2 linked regions of the Oryctolagus cuniculus genome follow. The protein of the gene in region 2 purifies or fractionates together with the protein of the main gene of each other region. This does not show direct contact. Links are inferred from orthologs where the notes say so. Each region holds a gene or a part of one and is shown on either strand. Other genes may lie near its edges. The genes, in order: SH2D1A and SLAMF6.

Evidence for each region.
Region 1: the proteins of SLAMF6 (region 2) and SH2D1A purify together in Homo sapiens (co-immunoprecipitation; 5 studies listed by BioGRID and IntAct, with this or other methods). This does not show direct contact. The link is inferred for Oryctolagus cuniculus from reciprocal best matches to the Homo sapiens genes SLAMF6 and SH2D1A.

The regions. Positions count from the first base shown.
Region 1 is NC_091453.1:102,132,726-102,139,405, reverse strand, and holds the start of SH2D1A (SH2 domain-containing protein 1A), read right to left. Parts: upstream 3,689-6,680; 5' UTR 3,596-3,688; intron 3,384-3,595; exon of another isoform or gene 3,282-3,383; 5' UTR 3,182-3,281; coding exon 3,045-3,181; intron 1-3,044.
Region 2 is NC_091438.1:38,417,796-38,423,858, reverse strand, and holds part of SLAMF6 (SLAM family member 6), read right to left. Parts: intron 3,645-6,063; coding exon 3,381-3,644; intron 2,938-3,380; coding exon 2,827-2,937; intron 2,530-2,826; coding exon 2,491-2,529; intron 1,179-2,490; coding exon 1,099-1,178; intron 1-1,098. UniProt on the Homo sapiens protein: Self-ligand receptor of the signaling lymphocytic activation molecule (SLAM) family.

The sequences.
Region 1 (6,680 bases), on a different chromosome or scaffold from region 2:
GGTTCTGGCCTATGTGGGCAAAAGGCTACACTTGTCCTTCTCTCTGCATATTTCACTTTCAGCAAACTTGCAGAAGACATGCATTACTATTCCTGTTTTATAAACATGGAAACTAAGGCCTAGAGAATATGAGTGACTCCTCTGGAGCCCCCCTCCTAGCCTCCTGATGACAGATTAAGGCTCTTCCCCCCCACAATGCATGCACAGATTTATTTATCTATTTGAAAGTCAGAGTCACAGGGAGAAAGGGAGAGGAAGGGAGAAGAGGGAGGGAGAAGAGGGAGGGAGGGTGGGAGGGATTGACTGATCTTCCATCAGCTGATTCACTCCCCGGGTAGATGAATAGCCAGGGCTGGGCCAGAAGCCAGGAGCTTCATCTGAATCTCCCACATGGGTGCAGAGGCCCAAACGCCTGTGCCATCTTCTGCTGCTTTTACCAGGGAGCTAGATTGGAAGTGGAGCAGCCGGGACACAAACTGGCGCCCCTTCAGGATACTGGCATTGCAGGCATTGGCTTTACCCATCTCACCAAAACGCAAGCCCCTGGATCAAGGCTCTTCGCAGTAAAAAACAGAATTTCCTTCTATAGTTCACTGGTTGGTTAATTCAGAAATATTTTTTGAGTGCCTATCTATGCACCAGGCTATATTCCTGGGGCTGGAGATGAAGACCCTTGCCCTCACGGAGATTACATTTTTTCTATTTATTTATTTATTTTATTTATTTATTTTTTGACAGGCAGAGTGACAGTGAGAGAGAGACAGACAGAGAGAAAGGTCTTCCTTTTTCCGTTGGTTCACCCACCAAGTGGCCGCTATGGCCGGCACGCTGCACCACCCTGAAGCCAGGAGCCAGATGCTTCCTCCTGGTCTCCCATGCGGGTGCAAGGACCCAAGGACTTGGGCCATCCTCCACTGCCCTCCCGGGCCACAGCAGAGAGCTGGACTGGAAGAGGAGCAACCAGGACAGAATCTGGTGCCCCGACCGGGACTAGAACCAGGGGTGCCAGTGCCGCAGGTGGAGGATTAACCTAGTGAGCCGCGGTGCCAGCCGAGATTACATTTTTCTAGAAGATCCCAGCAATACAGTTAAGTAAACATGCAAATGTCAGGCCTTTAAAGCTCCTTGAAGAAAAATAAAGAGCACGTAAGTGGGAGAGGTAGAGGGCATTCAGTCTAGATAGGGTGGCCAGAGAAGGCCTCGCTGAAGGAAGAGTCAGTTGCCTAAACATGTAAATCAAATTTTTGCAGAAGGAGCATTAAGGGCAAAAACCCTAAATAGGAAGCATACTCAGTGAGCTTAAGAAATGGCCAGGAGGCCAGCAAAAATGAAGCCTTAATGTACGTAGCCACACACTGTCCCCCGCTCTCCCAACCCCTGCCCAGGCTTCTTTTGTGCCTTCCTCTTTACCGCTAAGCTAAGAAGCACATTACCTCCTTGGCTAGCTTCCCTAAAGCAGCCCCCTCAACCCTCCCACTCACTCCCCTACCTTCTTTTGATAATGAAAGAGTCTATCTATAAAGAAACAACAAATGCTTGCAGGAGATTGACATGTTTATCTAGATTTGAACATTACATGACGTATGCACGTATCAAAACATCAATGGAGCCCCATGAATATGTACAATTTTCATATATCAGTTAAATTTTTAAATTTTTTTTAAATTAAAAAGAAAAGCGCCTAAGAATCCTAGTTGGCTTTCACCACCCTCTCCTGGTTTCACTCAGGAAGCACAGTAATATCAGGAAAACATGAAACTGCAAGCTCAAGAGATTCAGTAACTTGTGTGCATCTCCTTTGCAGTCCTTATGATGAATGTATTTAGTACAATCTCAGAACTACTACTAACAAACCTTGGCCATTTTTAAAAACCAATATACAATCAATGTATCATCAATACTGAACTGACTGACTACCAAGCGTTAGCCCTTATTTTGTTTCTGTCTAGAACCTAACGTAGAGTGCTGGTGTTTCCATGGGTGATTTTATCCTGGTGATGACAATGCTTCAGCTAGGTCCTTCCCAGGAGTGTTAAAAGTAATCAACTGAAAGAGAAGATTGATTGTAATAATACCAATATCTTATTTCTACTGAACACTTACTATGTGTTAGGTTCAGTGTTAATTTTTTACATGCATTACAGCACGGAACCTTCACAGTTCTGTGAGGTGGGTAATACCCATTGAATGGATGCAGAAACTGAAAGACCAAGACATTAATTTGCCAAGGCCACACACCTGGCTTCTGACCAGCACAGGGTTTCGCTCTCACAGCTGTCTGCCTCTGGAGCCCTGGAACAAAGATGCAGGTGCATCTGATTCAAAATGGGGCATTTAGACCCAGACACGCCTAGACAAAGGCAAAGCTGAATCATGACGAGGGTGTTTTCCCGCCACACCCTTTACCACTATCGGTCCTAGCTTTCATAGAGGAGGGTCTTATTTTTAAAACCTCCTGTCCCCCACACACCTCCTCTAAAAGAAGCTAAATAAGCTGATCCAGAGCAGCAGTTTTACTCACACACACCCCATCTCTGCGTCCTGACCCAACTGGTGGCCGCATTCTGAAAGTAATGGACTCTGCCCTTTAGTCTGCCTCCTCTCCCTGAATTTGGTATTCTTCCTTTGGGATGACACTTCCAAACCATCTCAAGAGAGGCCTTTCCTTCTCTCCAGAGCTGGGGGCCCCAAATCTGATTGGCCCATCATTCCAGGACTCCATCTTGCTGGCCTCAGTTGGAAGTCAAGACGGAAGCCAGGAGCCCGAGTCTCAAAGCAAAGGTAAATTCTAGGCCATGCTTCCCCATATCCTCAAGGCTACATTCTGCAGCTGCCCAGAAAGTCCCTGGCGAGGTCCTCCTGGAGAGGCGGCAGCCAGGGAATGAAATCCCCAGGAAGACACTCGGCCAAAGTGGGAGCTGAACAGGAAATCTTGCGGCCATGGAGAGGAGATCTTAATGAACAACTGCCACCCGCATCCCTGCCCCCAGGCCCCCCGTGCCCACTGCCCACACTCTGCGCCGCCACAGCCATAACGTACTCACAGCACACAAAGGCAATACACGCCCGGGACACTCTCACTGTCCCTCAGCAAATAGCTGCCGTCCAGCCCGGTGGCGAGCAGGAGCTTCTCCCCGGTTTCCCTGCTGATTTTGCCATGATACACAGCCACCGCATCCATTGCCTAGGAGACTCTGGGGCAGGCCGAGGTTTGCAGATGGTACTTGGGAGATGCAGCTGCTGCAGCCAGGCACAAGTCAGCCACCTGACTCCCAGTTCAGCTAAATGTGCAAAAAGAAAGAGAAGCACCGGAACAACAGGATGTTGTCTACCTGCCTAAAAACCTCCCTCTCACACTTCAATTAAAACCAGCTCAGCAACTTAGCCGCTTGGTTCTATCAAACTTGTCACCGGGTGTGGTCCCCACCCCCCAACCAACATAGGGTTCCTACAAAGAGTGCAACCTTGGAAAACGGACTTTGCACGATTTGGGCTGTACTGCCAATGCAGACTCTCACCCACTGACAAGAGTGCTTGGTAATGCTTCGATTCTTGCATTTTCCCCCCTGGGGCCACCGGGAATGACTTAGCTTACCCGATCTTCAAAGGAGTTGATAGAGGCAGCGTGTCATGCGGGGCTGAAACCTACTGAAGACGGAAGGACTAAAAGCTCTGAAACCAAAGCACCGAAACGGCACCTTCTATATGCAATTACTACTGATCATGGCCATGAGACTCCTGCAGAATCAGATGAAGCAGGTGAACAATAGACTTTGGGCAAGTTCCTCTCTCTCAGCTCCTAACTCAGATAGTCATCTTGAACGATCCTGGTCCTAAGTAAATACTGATTTTTTTTCTAGCACCTTGTCTAGGATCCCAATGTGCTGGAGGAGGTACAAAAATCCCAGTGTATGTCCAAAGGTATTCCAGATTTGTCTATTTGCTGGGCCCTGGAATGAAGCCAAATCATTTAACTGGGTCTTCATCATTACATGGATTTGTCTATGCCCTTTGGTGTGTAGGGCCCGCTTTTCAGGATTTCAGCCATAAAACTTGTTTTACAACATTTTGTGCATGTTGATAATTGTGTGGTAACTTTTATTCTGTTGTTTCTAGAGAATGGCTTCTTCTTCAATTGATGTTAAGCTGTCATTAATTTTTTAAAAGCCTTCAGCCTACATTTTCTTCTCTGAAATAAAGCATTGCTTCTATTTCAAATAGTGATAAGTAATATTTCCCAAAAACTTCCTCCATTTTTGCTAGACATCGTTTAATGCCTGGAACTCAACAGTCTTACACATGTCACGTTAGATTATGTAAAATACTTTTAGAATTGGAATACAAAGAGCTGAAGCTATGTTGTCTGTTGTATTCCTTTCACCACTTCACCACCTACTTTTCTGAGAATGCGTCTGGGCTGGGAACTCTCTTGGGAGGACATTTAAACCCTCATATCTTAACCAATGAATTGGATGCTCAGAGCCAAAGATGGTTATTTTCCCTCCAACTATGAGGGTTAAGGACAATCCTTTTGGCCAGCACCACGGCTCAATAGGCTAAATCCTCCGCCTGCAGGGCTGGCACATGGGGTTCTAGTCCCGGTTGGGGCGCCGGATTCTGTCCCAGTTGCCCCTCTTCCAGTCCAACTCTCTGCTATGGCCCGGGAGTGCAGTGGAGGATGGCCCAAGTCATTGGGCCCTGCACCCCATGGGAGACCAGGAGAAGCACCTGACTCCTGGCTTTAGATCAGCTCAATGTGCCGACTGCAGTGCGCCGGCCGTGGCAGCCTTTGGAGGGTGAACCAACGGCAAAAGGAAGACCTTTCTCTCTGTCTCTCTCTCACTGTCCATTCTGCCTGTCAAAAAAAAAAAAAAAAAAAAAAAAAAAAAGGACAATCCTTTAAGATTTCAGTGGTAGCCAGCAACAGCTCTCCTTGGTGGAAGAATGCCCAGCCATAGTAGCTGAAATATAAGTCTCCTTCATTTCTTTTCACATTTTAGAGACTTTAACGATTTTTAATTAGTTTTTTACAGATTGAACGTGCTTTGTAGACACAAACATAATATTCTCTTCCTTTTTGAGGTAACATTTTAAATTTATGTTACAGTGAAAACGCTTAATACTAAGTTTAGCAAGTAAAAAGTAAAAAAGACCCTAGTTTAGTGGGAATATAAACAACAGCTATAAATATTTGAATGGAAAAATGGTCATTTCACCCATATACAGTAAATTTTAAAGCAATCACAGATCATTAAAACTATAGTAGTATAGCTTTTTTAAAAAAAATTATTTGGCAGTCAGAGTTACACAGAGAAGGGGAGACAGAGACAGAGAGAGAATCTTCCATCTGCTGTTTCACTCCCCCACTGGCCACAACAGCTGGAGCTGTGCCAATCGGAAGCCAGGAGCTTCTTCTGGGTCTCCCACACGGGTACAGGGGCCCAAGTACATGGGCTATTTTCTACTGCTTTCCCAGGCCATAGCAGAGAACTGGATGGGAATTGGAGCAGCCAGGACTTGAACTGGTGCCCATATGGGATGCCGGCACTACAGGTGGTGGCTTTACCTGCTACAACACAGCGCCAGCCCCTGGACTCTGTATTTTGAATGTGCAAAAGATTATCCCAGAGAAACTAATCACAATGGTGGAATTTCAAATATGAAAGAAGACAGGGGAGGGGAACCCCTTATATAAGCCCATATGGACAACAGCCCACCTGTGAAGTAAACTGTGAGAACATTTGGTGTGACACAGATTAAAAACAAAATGTAACTTTTCTTTTTTGTCTCTAAACAATTTTGACAAATCATCCACACACTTGGGAACAGAGCAACCTGGATTTGACAGGACAAGTGTACCATACGTACTTCTTTTCTTTCTCTGTTTTGTTCCATGTTGCTAAAATAGCACTCCTGTCAAAGCAGCCAGGTATGATAGGGTTCAGCACAACTAAAATCACATTTTAAAAAAACGGCGGATAAATTATAAGGTAATAGTACAGCTCTCACATCCAATACCTCATTGTCATTTCACAAGCAAGCTGACAGCCAAACCAGCCCACTAGTGTAGTGTTGATGAAAAATACTGACATCGTCACTCTAGTGCTACACACTGAGCTTAAAGTGTAGAAAAAAAGAGGAACTGAAATGGCTGGCTTCCTTATCTCTCCCCAGAGAGGAAAGGGGAAAAATGAAAGAGGAGAGCAATGGAGATAGTGGGAAGTGCCAACAGAGTAATAGGAACAATGGGTTCCAGGTACAAAATATATACCACTTAGGAGCAAAATCGTCTGTTTATTGTCTCTATAAGGTCCAAGGTGGCAGGATTTGCGTTCACCACTGTATCTTCCTTGTCTGACACATGGTAGATGCTACATATGTTGAGTAATGATTTAAATTAATGCTCTTAAGGAAATAAGGTAAAACATGGGCTAGCATTGTAGCACATCGGTTTAAGCCACTACTTGTGGCACTGGCATCCAATATGAGAATGCCAATTCAAATCCCAACTCCTCCACTTCCAATTCAGCTTCTTGCCAATGCTCCTGGGAAGGAAGCAGACGATGGTCCAAGTACTTGACCCCCTGCCACCCCTGTGGGAGATCTGTATGGAGTTCCAGGCTCCTGGTCAGCATAGTCCAGCCCTGGCTGTCGCAGGCATTTAGGGAGTGAACCGGCAA
Region 2 (6,063 bases):
TGGGACTAGAACCAGTGCCCATATGGGATGCCGGCACAGCAGGCAGAGGATTAACCTACTGTGCCATGGCTCTGGCCCAAATCTCATAAATTTTAACAGTTTATATTAATTAAGGAACATTGAGAGAATTGTTAAGACCTCAGAAACTCTCCAAAGTATACTTTTTAAACTAAAGAAGCAGCTAACAAATGTGTTGGAGTTCAGTTTCTTGGATTGTTAGAGAGTGATTTGGCTTGTTGTCAAGAGAAATGTGGAAAGATCAGTAAACAGGTGAGAGTATCCCTTCTTGTCCTCTCTTTGCAAGGAGCCCGCTTTGCAAATACCTGTGCAGGACTGTGCGAGTGAAGATTTGCTTGGGAAATCCCCAGATTTCTATCTGGATTATTGCTTCCATCATTTGGAGATGTTTCCTTGGTTTATTTTTCAGAAATCACAAGAACTGGCCCCCCAAGATGTGCAGTGTTATTTAGAAATATGCCACCTGCAGGTGCTTTATTTAGGGGAGGTGGTGGTTGATGCATAACAGAGGAGTTCCTGATGCCTGACCAAGCCCATCTTGTTGTGTTGCTAGAGGAGAGGGGAGAATTGAGGGCTGCTCATGGCTTTTGTGTCCCCTATTGTGGAAGGTTGTACATTCTTGCCCTTCTTTCCCTCTTGGCAGAGTTCTTCTGACCTTACCTAATATCCCTACATCCAGAGGAAGAAGCCCTCTACTACAGAACTGCCTCCCTTGGAAACTCTCAATGGAACTCTGATCGGCTCAGCAAGCACTGGCTGAGTATCCTACAGGGGAAGAGAGACAAAGACTTCATTTGTAGTTTCAGGCAGCTTGCCACTGCGCTGAGGAGACAAGACTTAACGATGCATTAAGCAGTTGGAGCGCAGAGTTGCAGCAGGGTAGGAATAAACATTCCCTCAAGGGCAAGAGCGGCTGATCCTAGACTGGTCTAGTACAAGACTTTGCAGCCTCTTTGCTGCCTTCTTTTCCCCTCATTGGTGAATGTCATTTGGAATAGTCAGGTGATTATGGTGATGAGTGTGTGAGGGATGACTGTAAAAACAGTGACAGTTATGGAATATAAAGCTGAAAAGACTCACCCGGCTTGGATGAGTGACCTGTGCATACACAGTGCTCCCTGGAGATCCCGAAGTGTACTCTAAGTTCCACATGGACTCTACTGTAAGTACAAGAAGGCACAGTCAGTGGCAGAAGGCATCTTGATGTCTCTCCCTAGGACTTTGCCTTCCCCAGAGCACTTCCTGTGCACAGAGACAATGTTCAAGGTATTGTCCTTCCTTAGAGAGTTCATTTGCTCAATAATCTGGAGAAAACTCTTGTTCATGAGGTCTATTTCTGACTTCATCTGTTGGGGGGGGGAGGTGGTCTTGGGGCATCTCCCTGAGTGGCCAGAGAGCTCCTGGGCCTACAGATGAGATGGAGATACTACATTGGTAAACATAATGCAGCCAATTATTCCACATATGTGATATCATCAAAGTTCTCAGAGGGCCTTAAGGTGGAGTTGGTTATTTTAGAGATGAGGAATGGCAGGCTCAGAAAACTCAAATGATTTCTGCACGGTCACACAGGAGGTAGCAGAACAGGAACTCAAATGCATGTCTTCTGACTACCTGACTCCAAATCTATTTCTTTGGTGTGAGATGTCAGGTATCTCTCAGCCATGAAAGGTGACTCAAAGCCAATCCATGCCAGGAGTGTGCATTCCCACCAATACCATGTTTCTCTCTCTCTCTCTCTCTCTCCCTCTTTGATTTATTAACTTGAAAGTCAGAGTTACACAGAGAGAGAAGGAGAGGCAGAGAGAGAGAAAGAGAGAGAGATCTTCCACCCACTGGTTTACTCCCCATTTGGCTGCAATGGCCAATCCGAAGCCAGGAGCCAGGAGCTTCTTCCGGGTCTCCCACATGGGTGCAGGGCCCAAGGACTTGGGCCATCTTCTATTGCTTTCCCAGGCCATAGCAGAGAGCTGAATCGGAAGTGGGGCAGCTGGGACTTGAACTGGCGCCCATATGGGATGCCGGCACTGTAGGCGGCAGCTTCACCCACTATGCCACTGTGCCAGCCCCACGTTTTATCTTTTGATTGTGTCTATCCGCTGCCCAAGCCTTGGCTGAACAGCAGTGATACACTCAGGCAGTTTGGTTTTAGGCATTTGATTCTTGAATCCTGACCCTGCCCTGCCCTTGCTGGTGTCAATGGGCAGCCTATAAGTTTTTTCTATGGCACTGGAGTGTCTCCATATGCAGGGTGGGAAGCTGCCCTGAGCTTGCTAGGACAAACTGTGTGAGGGATGGGACCTCATGCTTATGAGGGACTCTAGAAGTCCCATGATTACAAGCCATTTCCCCTTGCAACTTGTAGTCTGAGCAGGGACATTCTGATTTGCTGTGTTCTCATTGTCTAGCCCTTTTGGTCACCCCCATTTCTCTTCCATTCAGCTCTTCCTAGTTAAGAATCTGGGTACTCACCAGGACTCTGGGTTTGCTGAGTAGACAAATGAAGGGAACCTGAAAAATAAAATCAGGATATGAAATGTGTGACTGTGGTGGGAGAGGTTCCCCACTGCCTCCTCGTGGGTGTTTCTCTAGGGAGTGTGTTGGGAGGGGTCACAAAAGAAGGGCAGGCTGGCCCTGTCCTTTCCGGGCTAGAGCAGGTGTCAGGTCATCCCAGCGGACCAGCTCAGCCAGGGTGTGCATCTTTCCCTCTTCACCTGTCCTCCACAAGGGGTCCTAGGCAACTGGAGACCCGAGATTCTATTCCCTGGAACCTTGGAGAAGAGACAAATAAGAGGAAAGAAAACCTGCCTCTTCTTTTACACCAGAAAATTATCCCCACAATGATGACTATAGATATCAAAGGAGCCATAATTATTATCCATGTGAAATCCCAGCGTTCATTTTCCTTATTGAAAATACCTGAAAAGAAAAAAAAGAAGTAAAACATGAGACACAAGTGGGGAGGCAATTAGCCCCTGCAGAGGCACCAATGAGCCCCTTCTCGACTGCTTTGGAGGCTGGGGGACTTCATCCATGCCCGAGGCTCTGGCCTCTGGGCAGTGTGGAGTGAGCAAAGTGCGAGCCCAGAAGAGTCAGGGTAAAAGGCAGTCAAGACTTTTCAAGACCTTGCCCTTGGGCTGTGAGTAAACTGGAGACTGGGGAGGGTGGGGAAGGAAGGAGCAGAGATCTCTGGCGGCTGGCTTATGTGGTGAGAAGCACAGACTCCAGAGCATGTTTGTTCCCTCCCAGCACTGCTTGGCTGCCTCCCACTGGGCCACTGTTGGCAATCATGCAAGGTGTGAGGACATGGTGTACCCTATGGCCCCTCTAGGCTCTCAGAGAGACCTCAGGTAGACTGTTACCTTCACAGAGGCCCCTGGCAGACACAGTGAGAGATAAGTTGTTGGCAGGGGTCTCAGCTATGCAGGTGTAATTGTGTTCACTGTCGTTCCTGGGGTCCCAGGAGATAGTGAGGTTTGGTTCACTTAGAGATGTGTTTCCTGGGGTCTGCCACCTAAGCCAGGCATTGTCATTTGGATTCTCCACAGAGCAGGTCAGGTGAATCTCGCAGGTCCTATTCTCAGACAGCTGAACGTGACTGGTAATTTGCAAGTTCCTCAGTCGCCCTATGTTTAGAGAAAAAGGGGGATCAGTTAGAATGGTTGTCATACAGAAATTGACAAACAACAAATGCTGGCGAGGATTCCCACTGTTGGTGGGAATGTAAACTGGTACAGCTGCTGTGGAAAACAGTGTGGAGATACCTCAGAAATCTGAATATAGAACTACCATATGATCCAGCCATCTCACTGCTGGAAATTTATCCAAACCAAAAGAAACCCGCATATGAAAGAGTTATCTGTACTCCCATGTTCATTGCAGCTCAATTCACAATAGCTAAGATATGGAATCAACCCAGATGTCCATCAACTGTTAACTGGATAAAGAAATTATGGTTTATATGCACTATGGAGTACTACTCAGCTGTTAAAAAAATGAAATCCTGTCTTTTGCAACAAATTGGACACAACTGGAAACCATTATACTTAGTGAAATAAGCCAGCCCTAAAAAGACAGTTACCATATGTTTTCCCTGATATGAGGTAACTAATATAATAGAGCACCTAGAATGTAACATACTGGAGTGAATTGGACATTTTGAGATTTGATGATTTTTTACAGCCCTTGTCTCTTCAGTTGAGGAACAGTGTTTTTTTTCCCTTCATTCTATTTGTTGAACTCTTTACTTAGTGTAGGGTTAACTTTACAATCATTAAGTAAATTCAAAGTACATCTTTATAAAAAGTAAGAGTGGAAATGGGAAAAGGAGGATAAAGAAGGGTTGGAGCATGGGCAGGAGGGAGGGTAGGGTAGGAAGTATCATTATGTTCCTAAGTCTGTATATATGAAATACATGAAACTTTATAACTTAAATAAAATTTAAAAAGCTTAACTAACTGAGTAGGAGTTGTGGAACACAAAATAGAAAGTTCATGGAAAATGCGATTGAAAGGTGTTTATTTTAGTGTAAATTTTTTTTTGTATTCAAACGGTTTCTTAAAAAATCCATTTTAAAGAACTTTCTATTCAGGCTAACGACAAACACAATAAAGGCAAACATGATAGTTTAACATAATAGGTTGATTTTATACAGCTCTTATATCTTTTGGTTCAGAAGTGTATTAAATGGTAGAGAACATCTGTTAAAACCATTTCTACAGAACTAGGAAATAAATGTCTAAGAAAGAAAGATTTTACAGACCTCTATCTTTTATACCCACCCCAACAGTCTAACTCTAAAAAGGAAAAAGCCAATGACTTTCCTCACAAGAACTCATGACTAGTGTTGCTTTGCTATCAAAATCTGTATTTCTGATCCGTTATGGGCATTGAGACAAGATTCAAATATTCCCAAAGAAAGAAGCGCAGTGCGCTTTGTAATAGCCCATTCAGAGGACAGAGGCAAGATGGCGGAATAGGAAGGGAGCACACTGATAGTCCGGGGAGAGACAGTTTAATAAAAGTGGAGATACTGCAGGTTCAAGGAAGAGTAGGGGAGGAAACAGCAGAAGAAACTCTTCCAGAACGCGTGATTCACAGCGGACCTGCGTGGAGAGCGTGGGAGCCCACAGTTCGGGACACCAGCGGCAGACTCAACACACCAGCGCTGGAACGCGAGGTGAGCCGAACCTCAATAGCCCAAGACACCGGCAGGCAAGCGGAGAGAGGAGACTAGAGCGAACGACCCCTGGCGGGGAAAAGTTCACCAGGCTAACTGGAAGAGAGAGAGAGAGAAAAAAAAAAAAGGTGACTGGTACGGACACAGGTTTCTCTCTCTCCGCTCACCTCTCAAGGGCGAGCCAGACAAAGAGCAGGCGCCATCTTGGACATACGTCATAAGCAGAGCGACCTCAGGTCTGCACCGGCCCTGAGCCTAGCAGAAAAACCTGACTCTGGGCGGGGCGAATTAACAGGAGATTAGGACCTAGTAAATTTGTGGTGCTACTGAACTGAGACTGTGAAAAAAGAGACGGTGGGGGAGAGAACTCAAGGAATTCACCTGAGTACTCTCCAGAGATGCTACAATTCCGTAACTTTGGCAACCCAGTGGGAGACTGAAGGAGAATTTGAGCCCACTCTGAGGGCAGAACAGATTCCCTGTGTGGTCCTTGGGAAAGAGCTTCCGATCTCTGACTCCTGTGGGTATATCATTTGCCTGCTAACTACCTCCAACTTCGTTCAGCTGTGCGGAATTACTTCCCTTTTGAATCAAAAAAAGAAAGAGAGAGAGAGAGATTTACCACGCCTAACCTGGGAGTGTCACCTTTGGCACACCAAACAGAGCTCTCAGGCCACACCCATCTCAAGCCCTAAGGCTCCATCAAAAACAGATAGTCCACTTAATCTAGAGTCATAGTATAACAAGAAAAAGCACCACAGTGAAGAAACCAAATATCTCCAATATGCCAAATAACAAACGCAAAAACCGAGGTAATAAAAACAAGGAAGTCACCATGACGCCCTCAAATGAAAAAGACACCCCAA